Linked DNA regions of Macaca fascicularis. The main gene of each other region encodes a partner of the protein of the gene in region 4 in a complex. Links are inferred from orthologs where the notes say so. Each region holds a gene or a part of one and is shown on either strand. Other genes may lie near its edges.

Evidence for each region. The genes of interacting proteins can lie anywhere in the genome.
Region 1: TAF5 (region 4) and TADA2B share a complex: the UniProt entries of both Homo sapiens proteins name them as parts of the TFTC-HAT complex. The link is inferred for Macaca fascicularis from reciprocal best matches to the Homo sapiens genes TAF5 and TADA2B.
Region 2: TAF5 (region 4) and transcription initiation factor TFIID subunit 13 share a complex: the UniProt entries of both Homo sapiens proteins name them as parts of the TFIID basal transcription factor complex. The link is inferred for Macaca fascicularis from reciprocal best matches to the Homo sapiens genes TAF5 and TAF13.
Region 3: TAF5 (region 4) and TAF4 share a complex: the UniProt entries of both Homo sapiens proteins name them as parts of the TFIID basal transcription factor complex. The link is inferred for Macaca fascicularis from reciprocal best matches to the Homo sapiens genes TAF5 and TAF4.

Annotation. Positions count from the first base shown.
Region 1 is NC_088379.1:6,046,670-6,052,793, forward strand, and holds the start of TADA2B (transcriptional adapter 2-beta), read right to left. Parts: upstream 3,452-6,124; 5' UTR 3,451-3,451; coding exon 2,926-3,450; intron 1-2,925. Other genes in the region: CFAP184 (cilia- and flagella-associated protein 184), read left to right, coding at 3,828-5,507. UniProt on the Homo sapiens protein: Coactivates PAX5-dependent transcription together with either SMARCA4 or GCN5L2.
Region 2 is NC_088375.1:125,371,210-125,377,229, reverse strand, and holds the start of transcription initiation factor TFIID subunit 13, read right to left. Parts: upstream 3,452-6,020; 5' UTR 3,390-3,451; coding exon 3,363-3,389; exon of another isoform or gene 3,189-3,362; coding exon of another isoform or gene 3,188-3,188; intron 2,601-3,187; exon of another isoform or gene 2,503-2,600; coding exon 2,424-2,502; intron 1-2,423. UniProt on the Homo sapiens protein: The TFIID basal transcription factor complex plays a major role in the initiation of RNA polymerase II (Pol II)-dependent transcription.
Region 3 is NC_088384.1:118,112,661-118,118,846, forward strand, and holds the start of TAF4 (transcription initiation factor TFIID subunit 4), read right to left. Parts: upstream 3,452-6,186; 5' UTR 3,385-3,451; coding exon 2,025-3,384; intron 1-2,024. UniProt on the Homo sapiens protein: The TFIID basal transcription factor complex plays a major role in the initiation of RNA polymerase II (Pol II)-dependent transcription.
Region 4 is NC_088383.1:112,411,149-112,416,667, reverse strand, and holds part of TAF5 (transcription initiation factor TFIID subunit 5), read right to left. Parts: intron 1,544-5,519; coding exon 1,306-1,543; intron 1-1,305. UniProt on the Homo sapiens protein: The TFIID basal transcription factor complex plays a major role in the initiation of RNA polymerase II (Pol II)-dependent transcription.

The sequences.
Region 1 (6,124 bases), on a different chromosome or scaffold from region 4:
AAGTCTCAACTTTCTTTACATCACTGTCCCCAGCCCCCACACCATCTCCTTCCACACTCACAGTGGCGGCCTAGGAGCCCAGGCCCTGCCCCCACACTAATCTCCAGTGAATCAGGTCAAGCCCTTCCACTCCATCCACTCCTGCGGTGGCACCGACGGCCTCCCAGCCTGTGACCCACATTGCCTAATGCTCTCACCCATGGGTTAGGGCCCAGGCTTTGGAATCACACAGGCCAGCATTCATTCGTGGCTCTATCACATGAATGCCATGGAATCCCTGACAAGGCGCTTAGTTTCTTAGAGCTGCTGTTCTTCAACTGTAAGAATAAGAACCCAACCCCCAGGGCTGCTAGGAAGATCCCACAAGACACGTATGGGAAGAGCCTGGCCTAGAGCGGACAGAGGCAGTGGGACACGCCAGCTCTGTGCACATAGCTGGATACATGCTCAGAAGAGACCGCCCATCTCAGAGCTGCAGAACAGCCTCAGAGGAAGAAAAATAAAGTCCCAGGGGTTAGCACAACGAGGCTCTGCCAGGGAGATGGCAGCATGACTGAATACTGGTACCTCACCACTCCGGGGGAGGGGGCGGGGGTCACGGGCCAGCGCACCCCCTGCGCCCTGGCTGCAATGCAGGCTCTCAGGCCTCGCCGTGGCCTGGCGCTGGTGCCGTGGGAGAACGCCCTGACCGCAGCCTGGCCAGGCCCCCTGTGCACCAAGCCCAAGCCCAAGCCCCATGCCCTTCCTCTCCTGGCTCTGTCTCCTCTAACAGCTGAGTCAGAATCTGCATTTTCACCAGCTCCCCAGGTGGTCTGTGTGCACATTAGTTCGGAAAGTATTGTTTTAGAAGACAGGCCTCTCCACTTCTAGCCTGGTTTCTTCCAAAACCAAATAAATGTTTTTGTTCCCCAGGTATTGTGTTCTGTGTATGTTCCACAGTGCCGCAGGGAAGGCAGTGCAGACAGTGTAGTTAAGAGTACAGGCTCTGAAGTCAAACTGGTCCATCCAAAGCCAACTGCCAAGGGCTGTCGGGAAAATGTCCTGAGATACGCGAAGATATGCCAGCAAGGCTCTGCGCCTCCTTAGCTGCTAACATAGAGATAATTGCTGGGATGGTGAAGGGAAGAGCCCTTTGAGGCACTGATATGTAAGTGGAAAGATCGATCCTGGGCCATGATTTTGGGGGAGAGCACTCTAGGTAGAAGAAATATAAAATGATCAAGGGAGGTAACAGATGAGATCTCATTGCTCAACACTTCTAAGGCAGCCTTAACTGAAGTAAAAGCCACTGAGGCCAGTGTGAGGCGCTCTGTGCTTCCAAAGCTCGCTCTGGTTATGGTGTGTGGAATGGGGGAATAGGGTGCAGGGGGAATAACGAACAAGGAGGCTCCCAAAGTGGTCAAGGCAAGAAGTAAACATCAGCCGGGACTACGGCTGTAAGAAGTAGTTTGTTCTGGATGTACTGTGAGGAGACAGCTGATAAACTGGATCAGGAACTTAGTGGAACAAGGAACTAAGGAGTAAGTCAAGAGGACACTAAGAGGCAGATAGGACAGGGAGGTGGCTGGACATGGATGGCTGTTGCTAGGGAGGAGCTCTGGGCCCAGGACCAAGTCAGTACCACACTTTAAGCTCCCTGAATGGAGGGATAAAAGCTTCTCTTTCCTTCAGAGTCCTCCGCCACTGTAGAATCTGCACGGAACACAAGCTCAGTGCATATCCACAAACAGCATGGAAGGACAAGATGGGCCAGAGTTTCTGAAAAATGGCGATCCCAATGCTGGTGGCCATTAGGTAAGGATTTGTAAAGGACCATCTTCTCTAAGGAGCTGGGAGGAGAATCAAGATTCCAGGGCTTCAGAATGGGTATATGAGGCGGTCCTGAGACTCTTTCAGGAAAGGAAAGCAAAAGGCAATCAAAGCAGCCCAGGCAGGACTGCTGGAGACGTGGCAGCAGATGGACGCTGTTCCGAGAAGCAGGCACCTGGTGTAGCAGGGGAAGACTCTGCAAAGCTAAGGGCGCTGGGGTGTCTCACTCCCCTCCTTCTCAGGGTGCCTGGGGATGGCCACATGCCTTTGGTGGTTATGAGTGGGAATACGGCTAGAGATTTTCTCCTTTCTAACACGGATGCAAGCTTCCAGAATGAAAGGAGAGCTGAGAAACCGCCCAGAGAGAACAACCATGTTCCTCTCTCAAGGACAGAACCTAGCACACGATGTTGCTAGCGTAAGTGGATCCAGTCCAGCTCTCACCGCTCCCCACACAGAGCTGTCTCTACAAAAACCTCAAACGTAAAGAGAGCAAAACCCAAGCCCCAGGCCTCCCAGGCCAGGCCTCTTTGTTCATTCTTTACTGACCACTCGCACAATGTCGTGGGTTGTGGAGACCCAAGCATTAACCAGGCACGCTACCCACAAAGAATCTGTGCACTGGCACACCACACAGGGCACATGCATACAATGACAGAAAGCAAACGGGGCCGCCCCAGAGACCCCGAGACAAGCCGCAGGGCGCCCACCGTTCTCCCTCCCTGGTGCTCCCACCGCTTTCTGTCGAGTCTGTGGGCCTGCCTGACTCCACGAACTCAGGTAAGGCACCGCGTCTCGCCCAACGTCTGCACTCCGCAAACGCCTGTGAAGGTGTCCCTGAAGGTGAGGGAAATGGCTCTGCTGTCAGAAACCAGCGTTCAAAGCCCCACTTGGCCCCGTCTCGGCTTTGTGACCTTGGGCGCGTCACAGCCTCTCTGAGCATAGGTTCCGACAGGTGCCCGACTATAAACCGGCAGCGTCGCCCTCCCCACCTCCGGGGCCTTCCGGGGTGCCGAGCGGAGCGAGCAGGTCCAGTGCTGCCTGCGCGCCCGATACAGGAGAGGCGCGGGCCTTCCTGTGCCCTAGCCGGGACCCGGCCCCTGTCGCGCTGCTCACCCAGTTTCCGAAGCCGAACTGCTCGATGGCGTCCAGCAGCAGCTGCTCCTCGCGACTGGTCCAGCCGCCCTCGGCCTCGGGCCCCCAGAGCGTGAAGCGCCCGCCGTCCACCAGCTGGTAGCCGTGGTAGCGGCGGTGGTGGCCGATCTCGGCGCCGGCCGAAAAGCACTCGGGGCACAGCTCGATGTCCTGGCACTCGGTGCAGCGGAAGCGCAGCGGGCTCACCTCGGCCAGGCAGTACACGCAGTACTTCTTCCCCAGCTCCGCCATCTTCCCCTGCTCGCCGCCCGCCGCCCGGCCCGCCGCAGCCGCCGCGCCCCCGGCCGTCAGCGCCCCGCCACCCGCGGGACCCGCCGCCGCCGCCGCGCACAAGCAACCGCCGCCCGTCGCCGCGGCTGCCGCCACCGCGGCCCCAGCCCAGCAGCCGCCGGAGCCAGCCAGCCGGGCCGCGTCCCGCCTCAGTACGCAGGCGCCGTCCGGCCCGGCCCGGCAGCCGCCACCGCGGCCGCTGTCGCCCCGCCGCATCGCGCAGGCGCCCCGCGGGCGCCACCTTGCGGACGCCCGGCCCACCGCTCTGCGCCTGCGCGCACCCCGCGCCGGCCGCCGCCGCCTTTCCCAGAGCCTCCTGAACGCCCCGCCCCAGGCCCAGCGGTGGGAAATGGGCAGGCAGAAAGCCCGGCGGGGACGCCACGCCCCTCGCGGCGAGAGCCCACGGCCGCTTCCAATCAATCTCGCCTATCGCCAGCTCGCGGCCTCCCATTGGCTTGCTCTCCGGGGAGAAGAGGCTGGACGACGGCCTGTCGCCTGGCCAATCGCCGGGCCCAGCGCGCGCGCCCTCGGTTGCCCCGGGAAACCTAACAGCATGCTGCCGGGGTCCGCTGCGCTGGCAGAGCCGGGCGGAGATGGAGGGCGGGTCTGAGCACACTAAGGACCCCGGCGGGGAAGGCGGAGACGGGGAAAGCCTGGCCGCGCGGCCGTCCAAGATCAAGGCCAGCTCCGGCCCTCCGACCCCTCCCGAACCCGGGGAGCTGGAGTCGGAGCCAGAGGAGGAGGAGGAGGAGGAGGAGGAGGAAGAGGAGGCTTCGCAGGGAGGCACAGCCGCGGACGAGCAGGCCAAGGCCCCGAAAGAGCTAACGGCAGCCGAGGCTGCGGGCGAGGAGGGGCCTGGAGAGCCGGGGAGGCCGGCCAAGCCCCAGCCCGAACCCGAAGAGCCGGCCGAGGCCGGGGCTGAGGAGCCCGTCCAGCCGAAGTCCGGAGCCGGGCCCGAGGAACTAGATGCGGAGGCGAGGGCGGAGGAGCTGGAGCAGGCGGCGGAGGGCAAGGAAGTCCGGTCCCAGGCCTCTCTGCCGCTGACCAGGATCGGCGAGGAAGAGGCTGCTGCAGCCCCGGAGGCCGAGACAGAGCGGGTGGAGGGGGAGGAGGAGGACGAGGAGGAGACACGGAGAGACAGCGCGGAGAGCGAGGGGAGGGCTGGGGAAGGACGCCCGGCCAAAAGCCAGGAAGAGGGGAAGCCCCTCGGTGGAAGGGACGAGTTTGAGGACCTGGAGTGGTCCGAGGAGGTCCAGAAGCTACAGGAGCAGCAGCTGCGCAGCGACCTCCTGGACCAGTACCGTTCCCTGCTGATGGAGCGGAACCGCTCCCAGCGCTACAACCTGTACCTGCAGCACAAGATCTTCGAGGCGCTGCGCAAAAAGAAGGGCCTGGAGGCGGCGGAGGTGCCTGACCGGGGCGCACAAGCAGAGGCCCCCGAGAAAGAGCAAGCGTACCTGCGCCATCTGGGCATGCTGGAGGACCTGAAGAAGCAGCAGGCAGACGACCTGCAGTGGTACCACCAGGAGCTGGGCCAGTTGAAGCAGCAGTGCCAGGAGAAGCTCTCAAGAGTGGAGAAGGAGTGGCGGCGCTTCCAGGCACTCAAGAAGCAGGTGGTGATGCAGGCCATGGGCAGCTGTCGGATGAGGGGCGGGCGCCAGGCTGCTCTGCGAGAGGTGGAGCAGATCCTGGCGTTGGAGGATAAAAAGGAGAAGGAGATGAGCGCCGTGCGGCTGGAGAACGTGCAGCTGAAGCAGAGCCTGGTGCATTTTGAAACCAGGATGAGGACCCAGGAGGACCTGACCCAGGGTCTGCTTCTTATTGACTTTGAACAGCTGAAGATTGAGAACCAGACCTTCAATGAGAAAATTGAGGAACGAAATGAGGAACTTTTAAAACTTCGCAACAAGGTGACCAACAGTGTGCAAGTAATAACCCACATGAAGGAAAAGCTGCACTTCATGGACACGGAGAACGCGTGCAAAAAGACACAGCTGGCAGAAATCGAGGCCCAGGTCGCCCAAGGAAGAGACATCCTGACCAAGACGAAGCAAGCCCGAGAGGGGCTGCGGACAGACAACATCAGGCTGAATCAGAAGTGCGGGCTTCTAGGCAACGACTCACTTCTTCGGGACTTGGAAGAAAAAGTGGACAAGACCCAACTGCTCCACCAGCGCCTGGAATCCCTGAAGCGCCACCACGCTGGGCTCACTTTGTCCTGCAGAGGCGTGAGGCAAAAGATCAGGGAGGCCAAAGCCTTTCTCCCCTCTTGACCAGATCGATGAGAAGAGTCTGCAAAACACTTCATCCTCAGGACATGCTGTCCTGCTTTATTTACCTTTGTTGCTATTCTTAAAAAGGCCTGTGTCCTTTGGGACGGGACTATATTTTGTATTTATCTCAAAACGTTTTAGCTTCCAAATCAGTGCTGAGCCCAAAACTGGGTTAGGAGTTTTATTTGGGATTGAGCAAAAATAGGTCCAGAAAAGCAAACAAAGCGTGATTTAATGTAACTGACTTCTCATGAAAAACTGTGGAAAGTCTCAAGTCTGAGCAATTCCATAATTTCAATGACTTAATACTAAGGAGTCCATTTCCTCTTTCGTATGTAGGAGGGTTTAAAAGTTCAGTGAATGGGCAAGGTACACAAAAACCCTGTGCATTAAGCTAATTATTAAATTATTTGGATGTATTAAACTGTGTAGTCCCGAGACATTATTTCAGTTAGAAGCTCACTAATCCCCTTAGATTAATTGTAAATTGTTTTATATGTGACTAGCACGAGCTTAGGGGGCAATACATATATCTAGGAAACAGGAGAAATAAACAGGAGAGAAGTTGGTGTTTCCTCATCGTCCTTTTTTCAATGAAAGGGAGTTCAGTTTACTCA
Region 2 (6,020 bases), on a different chromosome or scaffold from region 4:
GCTAATTTTTTGTATTTTTAGCAGGGACGGGGTTTTGCTGTGTTAGCCAGGATGGTCTCGATCTCCTGACCTCATGATCCACCCACCTCAGCCTCCCAAAGTGCTGGGATTACAGGCATGAGCTACCGTGTCCGGCCCTCGAGTAGTGGAGTTACAGGCACGCATCACCACACCCAGCTAAATTTGTATTTTTATTAGAGACGGGGTTTTGCCATGTTGGCCAGACTGGTCTTGAACTCCCGACCTCAAGTGATCCTCCCACCTTGGCCTCCCAAAGTGCTGGGATTACTGGCATGAGCCACTGTACCTAGTCTCCTGCAAATTTTTTTTTTTTTAAGGTTCACGAAACAGATCTTTCGTCAGTAACCTCTATGAATATTCAGTTAAGATAAGGAGAAGCCTGAAGATTCCAAATTCCTGTCATCACAAACTAATCTCACTGGAAAAAAGGTCTTTGCTAACAACCAACTGAACATCACTCTGGGATGCTCTGGTACAAGGATCCCATTCTTATGCTGATATAATAAGTAAAACCACATAATGGTATAAGGAGCATCAGAGAAATGAAATAAGAAATGTTCAGCTTTAGTGAGGAAACGAAATATGGAAAAGGATTTGGATGGTTAAAAAATAAGAGTGTCTGGCTGGATGTGGTGGCTCATGCCTGTAACCCCAGCAGTTTGGGAGGCTGAGGCAGGAGGATCACTTGAGGGTAGGAGTTTGAGACCAGCCTGGCCAACATGGTGTAACTAGTCTCTACTGAAAATACAAAAATTAGCTGGGTATGGCTGGTCATGGTGGCTCAGGCCTGTAATCCCAGCACTTTGGGAGGCCGAGTTAGGCAGATCATCTGGGTCATGAGTTTGAGACCACCCTGGCTGACATGGGGAAACCCGTTTCTACTAAAAATACAAAAAATTAGCTGGGGCTGGTGGCGAGACAGGGTCTCACTCTTCTATCACTGGGGCTAGAGTACAGTGGCATGATCACAGCTCACTGCAACCTTGAACTCCTGGGCACAAGTGATCCTCCCACCTCAGCCTCCTGAATAGCTGGGGCTATAGGTACACGCCACCATGCCCAGTTAATTGCAAAAAAAAAAAAAAGATATACTGACCCTGTAGTTTCAAGGGCATTTGGGAACTGCTCACATATAACCCCGCCTAAATAAACCATATTCATAAATCTGTGTTGCCTCATCTCTCAATACTTAGATATAACTTTACATAAAGGACCCAGGACTGGAGATGGAGAGCACATTCTCATGCTGTGTTCCAGGGCTTGGCCTGTACCATCAGTAGTAGCAGCAGCTCTCCCTTCCTCTTGTTGCCAAAAAGGGTCAAAAGCATCTACTGAGGGGGTAGGATGCAGAATCAATACATTATAATCTCCATGTCATTATTTATTTTGCTTATTTATTTATTTATTTTGGACACAGGGTCTGGTTCCGTCACCAAGGCTGGAGTGCAGTGGCGCAATCTGGGTTTACTGCAACCTCCACCTCCTGGGCCCAAGCCATCCTCTCACCTCAGCCTCCAGAGTAGCTGGAACTACAGGGGCGTGCCACCATGCCCTACTAATTTTTGTATTTTTTGTAGAGAGAGGGTTTCACTATGTCGCCCAGACTGGTCTTGACCTCCTGGGCTCAAGCGATCTGCTTGCCTTGACCTCCCAAAGTGCTGGGATTACAGACGTGAGCCACTGCATCTAGCCTCCATGTCACTCTAATGTCTTACACTATTCACCACCTTCTTCTTTTTTTTTGAGACAGAGTCTTGCTGTGTTACCCAGGCTGGAGTGCAGTGGCATAATCTTGGCTCACTGCAACTTCTCCCTCCTGAGTTCAAGCGAGCACGTCTGGCTAATTTTTGTATTTTTAGTAGAGATGGGGTTTCATCACATTGGCCAGGCTGGTCTCAAACTCCTGACCTCCAGTGATCCACCTGCCTCAGCCTCCCAAAGTGCTCGGATTACAGGCGTGAGCCACTACACCCAGCTGTTCACCACCTTCTTACTTTGTTCATAGCCTTAGTCCAAAGCCCAAGCCCCAACTCACTTGCTACTCTCCCTCAACACCTGGTGCAGGATCCATTAGTATCTGTGGCTTACAGTCAAAGAAGCCTCTCTTTCTACTGCTGCAAAGGCAAGAGGAAAACTAATGGAGGTATGTTCTTCTGCCCTAAATTAAAACACGAACTACATTTGCTCACCTAAAAAGCAATTTATACACAGACACACATACACACACATATAACTGGGGTTAGGATTGGTACTATCTGATTCAAAAGCTAAACAGAATTTGATAGGCTAGTCTGAGAATATTGTCACTACAGGGAAACATTCAAAGCAATAAATGTACTTGGAAAGGATATGTCCAAAAGTTTTCATCATCTATAACAAAATCATTGTCAAATACTACTTACATTCTTTAGAAAAAAGCCTCTTTCTTTTACCCTGTCCACCTTCTGCACCTCCTCCAATTTCTTCATTTTCTTCCTCAAACTAGAAAACGTATATATAGAAATGTCAAATAATTGCCTTGCATTTGATATTTTAATAATAACAATGTTTTTTCCTTTTCAACAGATAGGCCAGAAAGCCTAAAGGAAGCAGAAAAAAAAAAAAAAAAAAAAAAAAAAAACACAAAACCTTAGCACGTAAGCAGCCTAGGTATCGAGTCCAATTTCCAACTCATCCAAAAATGGCTTCTACAATGTTCCTAACAAATAATCCTACTGCTTCTACGTGTAAGAGTTACAATGACCATAGGTTTTATTTTTAAACAACTAAGGTGGCCTATTGCTACTGTTAAACAGTTGATACTGAATCAAAGTCTACCTTTGTAGACTTTCAATTAAGCAAAACTAATATTTACTAAGCATTTGCATATACGGTGCTAAAAACGTTCCTTAAGTAAGCCCGTAACCCTATTTTGTAACAAGAAAACTGATTGTCAAAGTTAAATAACTTGCTTAGAGAGAATGGAGATTTTGAAATCCAGGCTGTCTGACTTTCAATGCATTCTTTTCCCATTACTTCACAGTAAGTACAGTTTTGTTAACAATTGAACTGTTGGTTCATAGTGAGCGCTAATAGATGTTAGTTTTGACGTCTGATGATTCTGTAAGTGTTTCAGTGTCTGGCAAATAAAGATCAAAATCAAGGGGAAAGGGGTCACAAAACCTACTCTTTCTTCATGTCCTTCCCCACTTTCTAAAATGATCAATCCTTAGGGAGTGAAGTCCCCGAATTCTGTCGGCTGAATTGACTAAGGCAAGCAGATCCGATCCTGAACTCTGCCTCCGCTACTGAGCCCGAAGGAGTGAAGAAAAGAGAGGTTCTGGACACAGACGGTCACTCACGGTGGGGTCTTCTTCCTCATCTGCCATCCCACTAGCCCGCCAACCCACAGCGCCCCGCCGGCTGGTTCTCAGCGGGTTACGCTACTTCCGTCGCCTCACTTCCGGTGACGGGCGGGGCTGGAGCTGGGCCTAGCTGACTGAGGCCTGCGGAAGGACGGTGGTGCTTTCCGGCCTAGCGGCGGAAATGCGACAGTCTTTAGCGGAGGAGGCCGGAGCTCCTCCCTGTAACACTGAAGGAATTGAAAACTAACAAAGAAAAGGAAATCACGGGCTCCGTGGGATGTATCTCGTTGTCACCCTAAATTTGCTACTGCGCATTGAATCACGCCTTCCTGTTTGGGGACTGCGAAGCTATGGATCGTAGGAGGGCTAGCCAGCGGTCCTTTATCTGACATAAATGCTTTTAAATCATTTTAAAGAGTTGTGGTTCCACTGTTTCTAAGCACTATGTTAATTACTGGGGATACTGTGCTTCACCACAAATTTCCAAGAGATGGTGTCCCAAAACTAAGCATTTAAAATTTTGTGAAGGTTTGTTTTTGTGTGTGTGTGTTTTTTTTTTTTTTTTTTTTTTTTGAGACCAAGTCTCACTCTGTCGCCCAGGCTGGAGTGTGCGGTGGCGAAATCCCGGCCCACTGCAACGTCCGCCTATCGGGTTCAAGCGATTCTTCTGCCTCAGCCTCCCGAGTAGCTGGGATTACAGGCGTGCACCACCATGCCCGGCCTCATTTTTGGTTTTTTTTTTTTTTTTTTGAGACGCAGCCTCACTGTCCCCCAGGCTGGAGTGAAGTGGCACAATCCGGGTTCACTGCAGCTTAGACCTGCTGGGCTCAAGCCATCCTCCCACCTCAGCCTCCAAGTAGCTGGGATTACAGGCACACACCACCTATGCTCGGCTAATTTTTGTATTTTTAGTAGATATGGGGTTTCGCCACATCACCCAGGCTGGTCTGGAACTCTTGATCTCAAGCGATCTGCCCCCCTCGGCCTCCCAAAGTGCTGGGATTACAAGTGTGAGCCACCGTGTCCATTGGGGAAGGCTTTTGGTCGGAACAATGGTTGGGAAAACCACAGGCATTGGAAGGCCAGAGCTAGGGATATAAAATATGTGTCCTACAGTGTAACAGATGATGCTACATAAAGAAAATCCCGCAATACACACGATTTCTGAATGTCCTGCTGAACATTCGGTGAGTGAAAAGTAGTTATGTGAGGCTTGAACCTATCTTTGTTAATAAACACAAAGCGGCTGGGCGCGGTGGCTCAAGCCTGTAATCCCAGCACTTTGGGAGGCCGAGACGGGTGGATCACGAGGTCAGGAGATCGAGACCATCCTGGATAACACGGTGAAACCCCGTCTCTACTAAGAAATACAAAAAACTAGCCGGGCGAGGTGGCGGGCGCCTGTAGTCCCAGCTACTCGGGAGGCTGAGGCAGGAGAATGGCGTGAACCCGGGAGGCGGAGCTTGCAGTGAGCTGAGATCCGGCCACTGCACTCCAGACTGGGCTACAGAGCGAGACTCCGTCTCAAAAAAAAAAAAAAAAAAAAAAAAAAAAAAAAAAACACACACACACACACAAAGCATTTTCCCACACTTTTAATGTACGTTGAATTTTCTAGGAATGTTATTGCCCCAAAATTGAATAGTAATTGTATTGTTTTGTTTGGAATTCATTAAGAGTTGTGTACCATTTCAAGAAATAACGTCACCAAAAGCAACATCACTTGTAATAATTTGAATAGTGAATACTGAAAAAAGAACTTTGATTTGAGGAAAGTGAGTTAAATTATTAGGCCCTGAGAGGCATTAAAATGAGAGGCAATCACATCCTACTTGCCCCCTTTTGAGCTATGTATTTATGTCTTAAAACTGCTTGCCATTCCACAAGTATTAGTTATAAATTAGCCTAATTATGCCCCACCAGACACTATATCCCACACCCTATAGCTTGATAATGTTATTTTTGTAAACCAATGAGAATTCCTTAAGGACAACTTTGTGTCAGCCCACTCCCCGTCCTCATTCTTTTCCGTTAAAAATCCACTTGTACCTGCTGCTAATCTTAGAGTGTATTCCGGGCCACTTTATGCTGCTGAGTTGCAATCCTCAAGTCTGGCCCAAATAAACTCTCTATTTATATTAATTTTGCCTCAGCTTCTTCCTTTTAGGTCGACAATACTCACTCAAATCAGTCTGCATTCAAAGTAATTCTACATATAGGTACAAGCATCTGAAATCTTCATTATACCCCCTAGTGCTCGAGTGTTTATATATTGAAACATATGTTGGCTGGGCGCGCTGGCTCACACATGTAATCCCGGCACTTTGGGAGGCCGAGGCGGGCGGATCACCTGATACAGTTTGAGACCAACCTGGCCAACAGAGTGAAACCCTGTCTCTACTAAAAAATACAACAAAAATTAGCTGGGCGTGGTGGTGGGCGCCTGTAGTCCCAGCTACTGGAGAAGCTGAGGCAGGAGAATGGTGTGAACCCAGGAGGCGAAGCTTGTAGTGAGCAGAGGTCCTGCCACTGCACTCCAGCCTGGGCGACAGTATGAGACTCCATCTCAAAAAAAAAAAAAAAAGAAAAAGAAACATATGTTACTATTTTTACTTTACTTTATATTACCTTTATGCCTGACCTCCTGGACACTGG
Region 3 (6,186 bases), on a different chromosome or scaffold from region 4:
AATAAACAACAATCAAAATTCCTCATCAGTAGATCAACTGCAGGGGATCATGAAGAAATGCGATAAATCTTTCATTTTTTAGACAGTAGCATTCAGCTCCTTGAAAGTACCATTCTCAGCACTGCCACCCAAACGTCTGTGTGAGCTGTTCCTCTGTCCTCACACACGGGAATCACGCACAGTCAACACTCCTACAGTTGTTTTTCAAGTTGTCACCTCATCAAACACACCTGACCCTAAAACTGACCTTAAAACAGAAGATGGAAGTGAGTCCCAGAATCACTCATGATAAATACAGCAGAAATGCCCTTTTCCAACTATGTGTTCCTCCACCTCCTCCCAGAAGAAAGAGATGAGGCTTTACCTATGCAGAGGCTCAGAGCAAGACAACCTGGCCAGCCCCTCAAGGCGGAGTCCAATACCTATCCAAAGTGGTGCAACAGGCACCTGGCCTGCGCTGAGACATGCGGGACCGCTGGAAAAACATTTTTATAAATAAAGCATTGCGATAGTTTACATAACAGATCACGGCCATCAAACACCTTTTTACAACATTACTAAAGTTCAGCCACATTTTCTACTAAAAGGTCAATATACACATAGGAGCAAAACCAAGACTTTGGCGAAACATCCCTACAAATGCTTCAGTACTCCAACAGCTTGTCACAACGGGCGTCTCAGCAACCCCGGAGAAGTGGCTTCTCAGCCCTCTTCCTCCCTGGAGCACTGCAGCCTAGCGGTCTCCCAGACAGACTCTCCCTACCCCCGCCCTGTCCAGTCTGACCACCAGCCCTGAACTTCACATACTCGGACAGGAAAACCTTTCACTTCTGAAGATGCTGCAAACCTCTCAAAGTGACCAATAGCTCCCTTCAGAGAGGGGACACAGAAAAGACCCACGCTCTCCTCGAAGTTCCTACTACTGCTGCCACCGAGCTGCTACAACTGCATGGCGCGCGTCACCACAGGCCGGGGAGGAGCTCCCCTGCCCAGCACCCACCAAGGCGGCTGGGGAGGGATGGGGAGCCCCAGACAAAAGCAGCCTAGCGTGCAATGCTGGTCAGGCAATCTTTCCCGTCAAACTTGAGGGGCCCTGAAGAGTCGCAGAGACAGCAGACTAGACCAAGAGCGTGAGTACTGCCAGGCAGAAGGGGCGTCTGAGCCCAAGGCATCCGCAGCACAGCCAGTATTACCCCGAGACCCCTGCACGGAGTGAGAGCATCTGCTGCCACCGCCCTCCCACTGCCCTCCCGAGGGGGCAGCAACCAGACTAGCTGGGCGCTCTTTCCTTTAGGCACCAACGCAGCGCTGGAAGAGACGGTGACACACACGGTGCTGAAACCCTACTCCAGAGCATGGCTCTCAGCAAGGCTGCGCGCCTGGAGGACTCTCGCAGGGTGCGCCCGACATCTCTGCCTTCCTGGTGGCCAACAGGGAAGCCCAAGCCTTCCATCCCGACTTCCCGAGCCTCGAGGAGGGGGTGTCGTGCCCCCGTCCTCGCCTGGAGACTGGGGAGGCTCAAGCCCAGGGTCACAAAGGGGTAGAAAGGCTAAGTGGGGACACAGGCCACACGCCTAACTGCAGAACTGAGCAGGGGACAGTTGCTGCCACTCGCACCTCCAGGTTCTGCCCTCAGCTCTGCAGACCCCATCGCCTGGCCCAGGGAGCCCCTGCGCTGAGCCTTCCAACCGGGGCAGGGGCACACAGGGCGGGAGCAGGTAAGGACCGCTCCAGTAGGAGTCCTGGCTGAGCCACTCCGAAACAGACCAGCCCCAGCCACAGGCAGCCACCGCGGACGTCTGGAACAGCGACAGGGACGCAGACTATGCCGACTCCCTCTGGCTCACTCGCAGGCAGCCACCCGGGCTGGCCCCGCACCTGGGTAGAGGCTGCCCCTCGGCCTGCTCCAGCCACGGGCCTACGGGACAGATGACCTTAGCATTCCACCAGCGGAGAACTTCCTGGAACTGGCAGCTGGCGCTGCTGGGACCCGCCCTTCCCTCCCGCCCCGTGCGGCCACTCACCTGGGGGCAGCTGGAAGTTCTGGATGTTGGTCGGGTTCTGAGGCGGCTGCGGCAGGCGGGGGGCCAGCACGGTGGGCGTCAGGGTGGCCCGGATCCCGCTGGTGGTGGCCGTGGGCGTCCGGGGCAGGCTCTGGGTCACTGCGCCGGCCGCGCCTTTGGGCAGCCCGGTGGGGGTCCCGGGGGCGGGCGGTGGGACGGCGGCGGGGCTGGGCAGCGCCCCTTGCATAGTTGGCCCGATGACCATGCTGGCAGCCGTGCTGGCCGGGCCGCTGGCCGCCAGGGTCTGCGCCGCCGGGGGCGCCGCCTGCACCACCGTCTTGGGCGACTCGGCCTTGACCCCCGGCGCTGGCGCTGCAGCCGCCGCGCCAGGCCCGGGCTGGCCGCTGACCCCCGCGGGGCCCCCGGCGGCCGGGGCGGGGGCGGGGGCTGCCCCGGCGCTGCCCCCGTTCTGGGCTGCGGCAGGGGGCGGCGCAGCGGGCGCGGCGGTCGGGGGTCCGGCAGGGTGGCCGGGCGGCCGCGCCAGGGTGGCGGGCGCGGGGGGTGGCGGGGGCGGGGCGGCGGCGGGGGCGGCGGGCGCGGGGGCGGCGGGGGGCGAGGGCGCGGCGGGCGCGGGGGGCGCGGCGGCGCCCACGAAGGGGGGCGTCTGGATGACAGTGCCGGGGGCGGCGGGCTTGGGCAGCGGCAGCAGCGCGGCGGGCCCGTTGTTGACCAGGCTGACAGCAGGTGCGGCGGCGTGGTGCGAGTTCAGCAGCGCGGCGCTCCCATTCAAAGTTTGCGCGGCGCCGGGGCCGGCGGGCTTGCCAGGGCCAGGGCCGGGGCCGGGCCCGGGCCCGGGGCCGGGGCCGGGGCCGGCGCGGGCGGCCAGCGCGGTGGGGCCGGCGGGCTTGGCGGGGCCGGCGGGGGCGGGCTCGGGCCCCGCGGCGACGGCGGCGGCGGCGGGCACCGGGGCGCAGGCCCCCGCGCTGCCCTCGGGCGGCGGCCTCAGCTTCGCGGCAGGCGGCGCGGGCCCTGCGGGGACAAGGGGGCGGCGCGGTGAGGGGGGGCCCGGGCGCCGCGGCCCCCCGCCCCCCGGCCGCGCTCTACCTGCGGGGGGCGGCTCCGGCGCCGCTCCGGGCGCGCCCTCGGCGGGGGCGGCCGGCCCTGCGCCCGCGGCTCCGGCCGGGCTGCCGCTCACAACATGGTTCCCGAGCGCGCCGGCGGCCGCGGCCCGCACCTCGGGCGTGCGCGGCGCGAGGTGGTGGTGGTGGGCCGCGCTGGCCGCCAGCTGCGACTCGAGCGAGCCCACCAGGTCGCTCACCACTTTCTCGTCCACCTCGCTGTTGAAGAAGACCTCGTCCAGCAGATCCGAGCCCGCCGCCATCTTTTTTCCTCGGCCGCCGCCGCCGCCGCCGCTCGGGCCGAGCGCGCCTGGGCGAGGAGGAGGTTCCGAGTGGGGCGGGCGCTGGGCGGGCGGGGGGCGGCGCGCGGCCGGCGGGGGGCGGGGGCGCGCGGCCGGGGGGCGGGGGCGCGGGGTGGCGCTCCTGCGCAGGCGCGGAGACCGCGGGCGCCCGGCGATTGGCTGCGGTGCGCGCTTAAAAGGCGCGGCCAATGGCTGCGAGCGCTAGAGGCCGGGGCGCGGGCGGTCGGCCTGGGCGCGGTAGCAGCGGCGGGAAGCGCGGGGGCTGGTGCTCGGGGACGCGGGAGCCGGGGCGGTGGCGGGCAGGGCGGGGCGGTGGCCGCCGGGCGGGGCGCGGGATGCGGGGACGGTGCGCCGGGCCGGGCCGAGGCGAGCGCGGGGCGGCGACGGGGCTTCGCTCTTTGTCTCCGCTCGCTCCAAAATGGCTGCGGCGGCGCTGACGGGAACGCCGGGCGGGCCGCCCTGTGCGGTAGCAGCGGAGGTGCAGGGCCCGTCCGAGGCCCGGGGAGCAGCGCGCGGGGATGCCGGGGCGCCGGCCGGGCAGCGCGCAGGCCCCGGAGTGGATGGGCCCGAGAAGCAGGCGGGGACGGGGACGGGGCTCTCGCAGCGCGCCCTGAGGACGGGGACCGGCGCCCGGCCCCTCCAAGCCGCCGCGGGGAAGGAAGCTGGGTCCGCCCCTGGGTAGCCGGTCCCGGGCGGTGGGGAGGGGTCCTGCGCGCACGGCTCTTCTCGCCCTCCAATCGTGACCACCCCTGGCCCTTCCCTCCATTTTTAATCAATAAACTAAGCCGCCCCGGGGTGACTGTACCCGCACCTAGCTGCCTTGGAGACGGGAGTGTCATTATAAGCCCGTAGGTAAGAGCACGGTGCCTGCCAGGCGCCAAACGAAGTTCCCGAGCTGGCAAATCTGGAAGTAGCTTTCTTTTTACGTTCTGCTGGGGGAGGGGAGTAAGTTACCTAAAATGTTCCCAAGCACCTTCTCTCTAGAAATACTTCAGTAAAAGTTCCAGTTCTCTCTTTCTGCGTGTTTTATTTTCCAACCAAAAGATGGTGTTATTGGACATTTCTAGTGGTTTTCCTTTCTCCCATTTCTTTCTAAGAGCCCAGAATAGGTTTCAGAGAGACGCTTCCTTGCCTCGGACCTCACTGGGGACAAGAGGCCGCAGGATCAGTCTTCGCAGCTGAAGACAGCGCCGCAATAAGCAGAGACCTCGGGACGATGAATGACGTTGCTGACATAGAAAATGATTTTTTTAATTGTTGTAGCAAAGGAGACTGCTAGTCTCAACAGCAGACCCGAACTGGACCCTTGTGCCTGTTCGAATTGCAGCCTCGCAAGGGAATGGACTGACTGAGACAGCTGGAATACGGGACTTCACCCCAGGCTTGTTTCTCGACAGCAGCAGCAGCCAATGAGCATTGAGGACGGAGCCTAGGAGAGGTGCCTCCCCTCTAGGGAAACAGTGTTCGGGGGAAATCACTGCAAACGTACAGCTGGAATTTTGTACCTGAACTTTGGCTCCCAGAAGGCAGGAAAGGAAATGAATGAAGCCAGCTGGGTACGGCAGGGAGGGCCCCTATGGGTGCACATATGGGGCACCTTGAGCTCAGTAGGGGGACAGTCTGAGTTTTCCAGAAAGAGCAGAGATATAAAGTGATGATTAAATCTCGAGATTTTTAATTTTTAAGTGTTGACAACTAATTAGAACATTTTTAAAGTAGGTCAAACCACAGGCAGGCTGACCGGCCTCATGCACAACTTGCAAGGTGGGGCGCACCAGGCTCACAGCACAGCCCATACCCTCAGACCCCTCACACTGGAGTGGGAGCAGAAGCAGAACGCCGGACTCGCATGAAACAGACCAAGTTCCAAGGCCCCTGGGTCCCAAAGGCTGGGGTAACTGAAGGTTCCCACGCTCAGGCCTCCACTCTTCAAGTCCGCTGCTACTCCACTGAGATCTGTAATGAGTCTCCTGCCATCTACACACAGTGGTGGCTTCTCTTCTCCAAGGCCCCGCCAGGAGCCCTTCATTCCAACATATTCGGGGCTCTCTGTAGGCTGGGCTCAGCCTCCTGCACACACGCCTTGGTTGACATTATCCGCAGGATCTTCTGAGGAACCGTCCAGCCTGGCAACTGCAGAAACTGTGAGGAGTTTAGGGTCTGTGCCCACCTATCCCAGCTTCCCTTGCAAGGAGGGTCTTGTGCACCAGAAGACCCTGGGGAGGGTGGGAGCTGCAGACAGCCAGGCAGCTCTATGTCTGGGGTTTGCAGGAGCACTGCCTCCCCGAGGAGGAGGAGCTGGGGTATGGCGGGGGTGTGAGGACACCCCTCCTAGTGTGAGGAGCTGGGGTATGGCGGGGGTGTGAGGACACCCCTCCTAGTGTGAGGAGCTGGGGTATGGCGGGGGTGTGAGGACACCCCTCCTAGTGTGAGGAGCTGGGGTATGGCGGGGGTGTGAGGACACCCCTCCTAGTGTGAGGAGCTGGGGTATGGCGGGGGTGTGAGGACACCCCTCCTAGTGTGAGGAGCTGGGGTGTGGCGGGGGTGTGAGGAGGAGCTGGGGTGTGGCGGGGGTGTGAGGACGCCCCTCCTAGTGTTCATGTGGTGGGGGGTCACCCTGGGGACCTCGGGCCAAATTTTAGTTACTGTATGATTTTAGTTGTTGGCACAAGCAGGTAGGACTTGTGTAGTTTGAAAGAAAAATCCCACCCAGCATAAAAAGAGGAAAGAGGGAATTGTAACAAATGTCAATCATAAGCACTG
Region 4 (5,519 bases):
TGAGCTCAAAGTGATCCGCCCGCCTCAGCCTCCCAAAGTGCTGGGATTAAAGGCGTGAGCCGCTGCACCGGGCCACCTCTACACATTTTCAAATGGTCTAGTGGAAGGAGCAATTCCACCCCCAGTTGAGAACCACTGCAATAACTTCCAAAACTTGTCCCTATAGTCATTCTATCCTCCATGTGTTTCCCCACTGCATAGAAGTCCTTTCAAAGTATATAATAATGACATGGTCCTTTAATGACTCTGTAGCAGAAATGACTCTGTAGCAAAAAGGCTTCACTCTCCCCAAATACCCATTTTTCCTGTCTTCCTCCATAAAAGAAAACCTGAATATCAGCTGGGCACATAGACACTTAGGTAAAGACTACATTTCTTATTTCCCCTGCAGCTAGGTGTGGCCACTGACTGTTAAGATATAAAAGGAAGAAGTGTGTGCAGTTTCCGTGTGCCCTAACTGCTGACTGGCACACTGATGTGACTGCTTAGAGCAGGAAAACCATCTTATGCCACAAAGTGGAACATGCATGAAAAGCATGGGAGAGCAACAAGACTGAGGGAGCTTGGGGCCCTGGTAATGAAGAACCCACCACACCAATCCCGAATGTCCCACCTTTATGAGAAAAATAAATAAACTTTTATTGTATTTAAACCTCTGTTGTTTGGGTTCTCAGTTACTCTTATTCTAATCTAATCCTAACACTGCTTCCTAGTGTTCTTAAGATAAAGGCAAAAATAAACTTTTATTTATGCCATTGCTGATGAGTTTTCAGTGACTCTCAATGAAACCTAATCCTACCCAATACAACTCCCTACTGCTCTTAGGATAAACAAAGATCTTCAATATGGCCCAAGAACCAGCCTATTCTTTTTTTTCAATGCCTTCACTTTAACAATAGAACCTGCCTACTGTTCCAGTCCCTAATTCCCAGCTTCATGGTATACCACACCCCCATCCCATTCTCTGCTCCAGCTACCCTGGCCATCTTTCAGCCTCTGTACCTACCAGAATCCTTCCCACCAGAGAGCTTTAATACATACTTTTCCCTCTTTTCTTCATCTGGCTAACTCCTACCTAATCTTCAGATATCAGATCTCACCTCAAGTATCATCTCCTCTGGAAGCCTTCTCTGACTTCTCCAGCTAGATTAAACCCCACATTTTAAGTTCTCATAGCCTTAGGTACCTCTCCTTCACAACGTACATTTTAAGTTGCAGTCTTACATTTGTGTGGTTACACATGTGAACATATATGCACGCGCACACACACTATGTGTGTATATATATATGTAAAAATGTACATACTTCTCAAAGAATGACTTTGCTTCATTCTCATGTTGATTGTAGACTAGCTCCAAGTACATGTGCACAAACAAAGGATAAAAGAGTTGGGATAACTCTGCCCGATGGCAGTCCAGGGAACATTCAATGAAGTGTTTCAGTCCACTATAGTATTCTTCATACATTGTGGGATCTCCTTGTTGGCTGTAGGCTGACAACACAGCACTGACATCTGGCTGGTCTTCCACAGCAACACTTCCAACTGTTTAAAAAACAAAAAACAACTTTTAAGAAAATGACCTATTATGACCATGTGACTATGGCTGTTTTGTTAAGGCCCAGAGGTGAGTTGTTGCTCAGATTGTTGTCTCTTTCTTCCCAACGTCTCTTCCTCAACACAATCACATAATCTTTTTTTTTTTTTTTTTCTGAGAGGGAGTCTCGCTCTGTCACCAGGATGGAGTGCAGTATGGAGATCTCAGCTCACTGCAACCTCCGCCTCGCAGGTGAGTCTCTTGCCTCAGCCTCCCAAGTAGCTGGAACTACAGGCATGCGCCATGCCCAGCTAATTTTTGCATTTTTAGTAGAGACAGGGTTTCACCATGTTTGCCAGGATGGTCTCGATCTCTTGACCTTGTGATCCTCCCACCTCGGCCTCCCAAAGTGCTGGAATTACAGGCATGAGGCACCGCACCTGGCCCACACAGTCTTTTTTTTTTTCTTTCTTTTTGAGATGGAGTTTCAACTCTTGTCGTCCAGGCTGTAATGCAATGGCACGATCTTGGCTCACTGCAACCTCCGCATCTCGGGTTCAAGCAATTCTCCTGCCTCAGCCTCCTGAGTAATCCTACCCAATACAACTCCCTACTGCTCTCAGGGTAAACAAAGATCTTCAACATGGCCCAAGAACCAGCCTATTCTTTTTTTTCAATGCCTTCACTTTAACAATAGAACCTGCCTACTGTTCCAGTCCCTAACTAATTTCCAGGGCATGGTGGTGCATGCCTGGGATTACGGGCATGCACCACTATGCCCCCTAATTTTTGTATTTTTAGTAGAGGGGGGGTTTCACCATGTTGGCCAGGCTGGTCTTGAACTCCTGACCAGAGGTGATCCACTCGCCTCCCAAAGTGCTGGGATTACAAGTATGAGCCGCCGGGCACAGTGGCTCCTGCCTGTAATCCCAGCATTTTGGGAGGCCGAGGCAGGCAGATCACGAGGTCAGGAGATCGAGGCCATCCCGGCTAACACGGTGAAACCCCATCTCTACTAAAAATACAAAAAATTAGCCGGGCATGGTAGTGGGTGCCTGTAGTCCCAGCTACTCGGGAGGCTGAGGCAGGCGAGTGGCGTGAACCCGGGAGGCGGAGGTTGCAGTGAGCCAAGATCACGCCACTGCACGCCAGCCTGGGCAACAGAGCGAGACTCCGAGACTCCATCTCAAAAAAAAAAAAAAACCAAGTATGAGCCACCGCGCCCAGCCATAATCTTTTAATAGAATTTTTTTCACTTGTTTCAGTCACCCAAACCGAAACCTGTCAGCACATCCATATCTTAAGATAACAATAACAGGCCATCACGGTGGCCCAGCATTTTGTGAGACTGAGGCAGGCGGATCACAAGCTCAGAAGTTCAAGACCAGCCTGGCCAACATGGTGAAACCCTATCTCTACTAAAAATACAAAAATTAGCTGGGTGTGATGGCGCGTGCCTGTAATCCCAGCTACTCGGGAGGCTAAGGCACGAGAATCACTTGAACCCAGGAGGCAGAGGTTGCAGTGAGCCAAGATCGCGCCACTGCACTCCAGCCTGGTGACAGAGCAAGACTCCGTCTCAAAAACAAAAAAAACAATAACAAGAAGAGTCAATATTCCTCCTGGAACTACCTTATGTTAAAGACAAATTGTATAAAAGATGGTATGTGCAAATCAAACAACTACATTAACTTTCTCTCAACGCTCTGTTCAAATGGCACCCATTACCACCAAGCCATGCACTGCAGTAACATTCCCAGTTCTCTGAGCCACCCAAGCACTGTGTAACATTCCTGTAACATATCCTATCCTGTGTTCCCTTCACATTATATACATCTCTTACCCCTTATAAAATGTAACCACTTAAGGGTGGGAAGGACCATGCCCTATTTATATCTTCAAAAGATAGTTATATGCGGCCGGGCACGGTGGCTCAAGCCTGTAATCCCAGCACTTTGGGAGGCCGAGACGGGCGGATCACGAGGTCAGGAGATCGAGACCATCCTGGCTGACACAGTGAAACCCCGTCTCTACTAAAAAATACAAAAAAACTAGCCGGGCGAGGTGGCGGGCGCCTGTAGTCCCAGCTACTTGGGAGGCTGAGGCAGGAGAATGGCGTGAACCCGGGAGGCGGAGCTTGCAGTGAGCCAAGATCACGCCACTGCACTCCAGCCTGGGCGGCAGAGCGAGACTCTGTCTCAAAAAAAAAAAAAAAAAAAAAAGATAGTTATATGCTTAAAACAATTTCCATAACCAGCATTTCAAAACAGAAAACATAACTATTTATTTGTAACACAGCACCACCTAACAATACATCTGTCAAATCAGAATTTGGTTGTTGGAAATATTTGTAAGTTGCCATTATAGTACACTTCGCTCTTTACTGCACAAATGTGATAATTTCTTCGGTTACTCTGATGGCCTCTTTTCCTCCTTACTGATTTCTCAGTTATGATCTATAATTAGGTCAAGTTTCTGAAGAGATAGGAGATTACAGCAAAATAACCAACAATATAATTCATCTTATAGTTCATTCACAAAATTCAACATTAAAAAAAGATTCCTCTCAAACACTTTTTTTTTTTTTTTTTTGTAAAGACGGAATTTTGCTCTGTTGCCCAGGCCGGAGCGCAATGGCGCTATCTTGGCTCACTGCAACTTCTGCCTCCTGGGTTAAAGTGGTTCGCCTGCCTCAGCCTCCCGAGCAGCTGGGACAACAGCACATGCCACCACGCCCAGCTAATTTTTTTGTATTTTTAGTAGAGACGGGGTTTCACCATGTTGGCCAGGCTGGTCTTGAACTCCTGACCTCAAGTGATCCACCTGCCTTGGCCTCCCAAAGTGCTGGGACTACAGGCGTGAGCCACCGCGCCCGGCCTTCAATCCACATCTGCACACATTTCTATTTATGGATTACAATGTGATATGAATACAATGCTATGTATTCATACTTCATTTCTGGCAATGCTGCAAAGATTAGGCCTCATACAGATTAATTTGGCTAAAAGCTCTGCACTGGATAATTCAATAAACATTTATTGTCAGCTCAGGATCACCTCTGAGACCTTATATTGTATATGAGTTTTACTGCATGGATTTGTGGCAACAGTTGCTGTGAGAAAGCAGTGGCTCAGGTGTCAGGAACACATACAGAGGCATAAACTTATCCATACCAAACATTTTACATATACATATTACAAGTGCCTCACGTGGCCGGGCGCGCTGGCTCACGCCTGTAATCCCAACACTTTGGGAGGCCAAGGCAGGTGGATCACGAGGTCAGGAGATCAAGACCATCCAGGCTAACATAGTGAAACCCCGTCTCTACCAAAAAGACAAAAAAAAATTAGCCAGGTGTGGTGACATGCGCCTGTGGTCCCAGCTACTTGGGAGGCTGAGGCAGGAGAATCGCTTGAACCTGGGAGGCAGAGGTTGCAGTGAGCCAAGATTGTGCCACTGCACTCCAGCCTGGCCGACAGAGCGAGACTGTGTCTAAAAAAAAAAAAACCCTCGGCCGGGCGCGGTGGCTCAAGCCTGTAATCCCAGCACTTTGGGTGGCCGAGACGGGCGGATCACGAGGTCAGGAGATCGAGATCATCCTGGCTAACACGGTGAAACCCTGTCTCTACTAAAAAATAGAAAAAACTAGCCGGGCGAGGTGGCGGGCGCCTGTAGTCCCAGCTACTGGGGAGGCTGTGGCAGGAGAATGGCGTAGACCCGGGAGGTGGAGCTTGCAGTGAGCTGAGATCCGGCCACTGCACTCCAGCCTGGGCGACAGAGCGAGACTCCGTCTCAAAAAAAAAAAAAAAAAAAAAAACCCTCATAACCACTCATGTAATAAAGGGAGAAAATTCAACATGAGAATGACTTGTCTCTTGACAATATTAATGTAAAAAAAAAATTTTTTTTTTTTTAAGACAGAGTCTTGCTCTATCACCCAGGCTGAAGTGCAGTGGCGCAATCTTGGCTCACTGCAACCTCGGC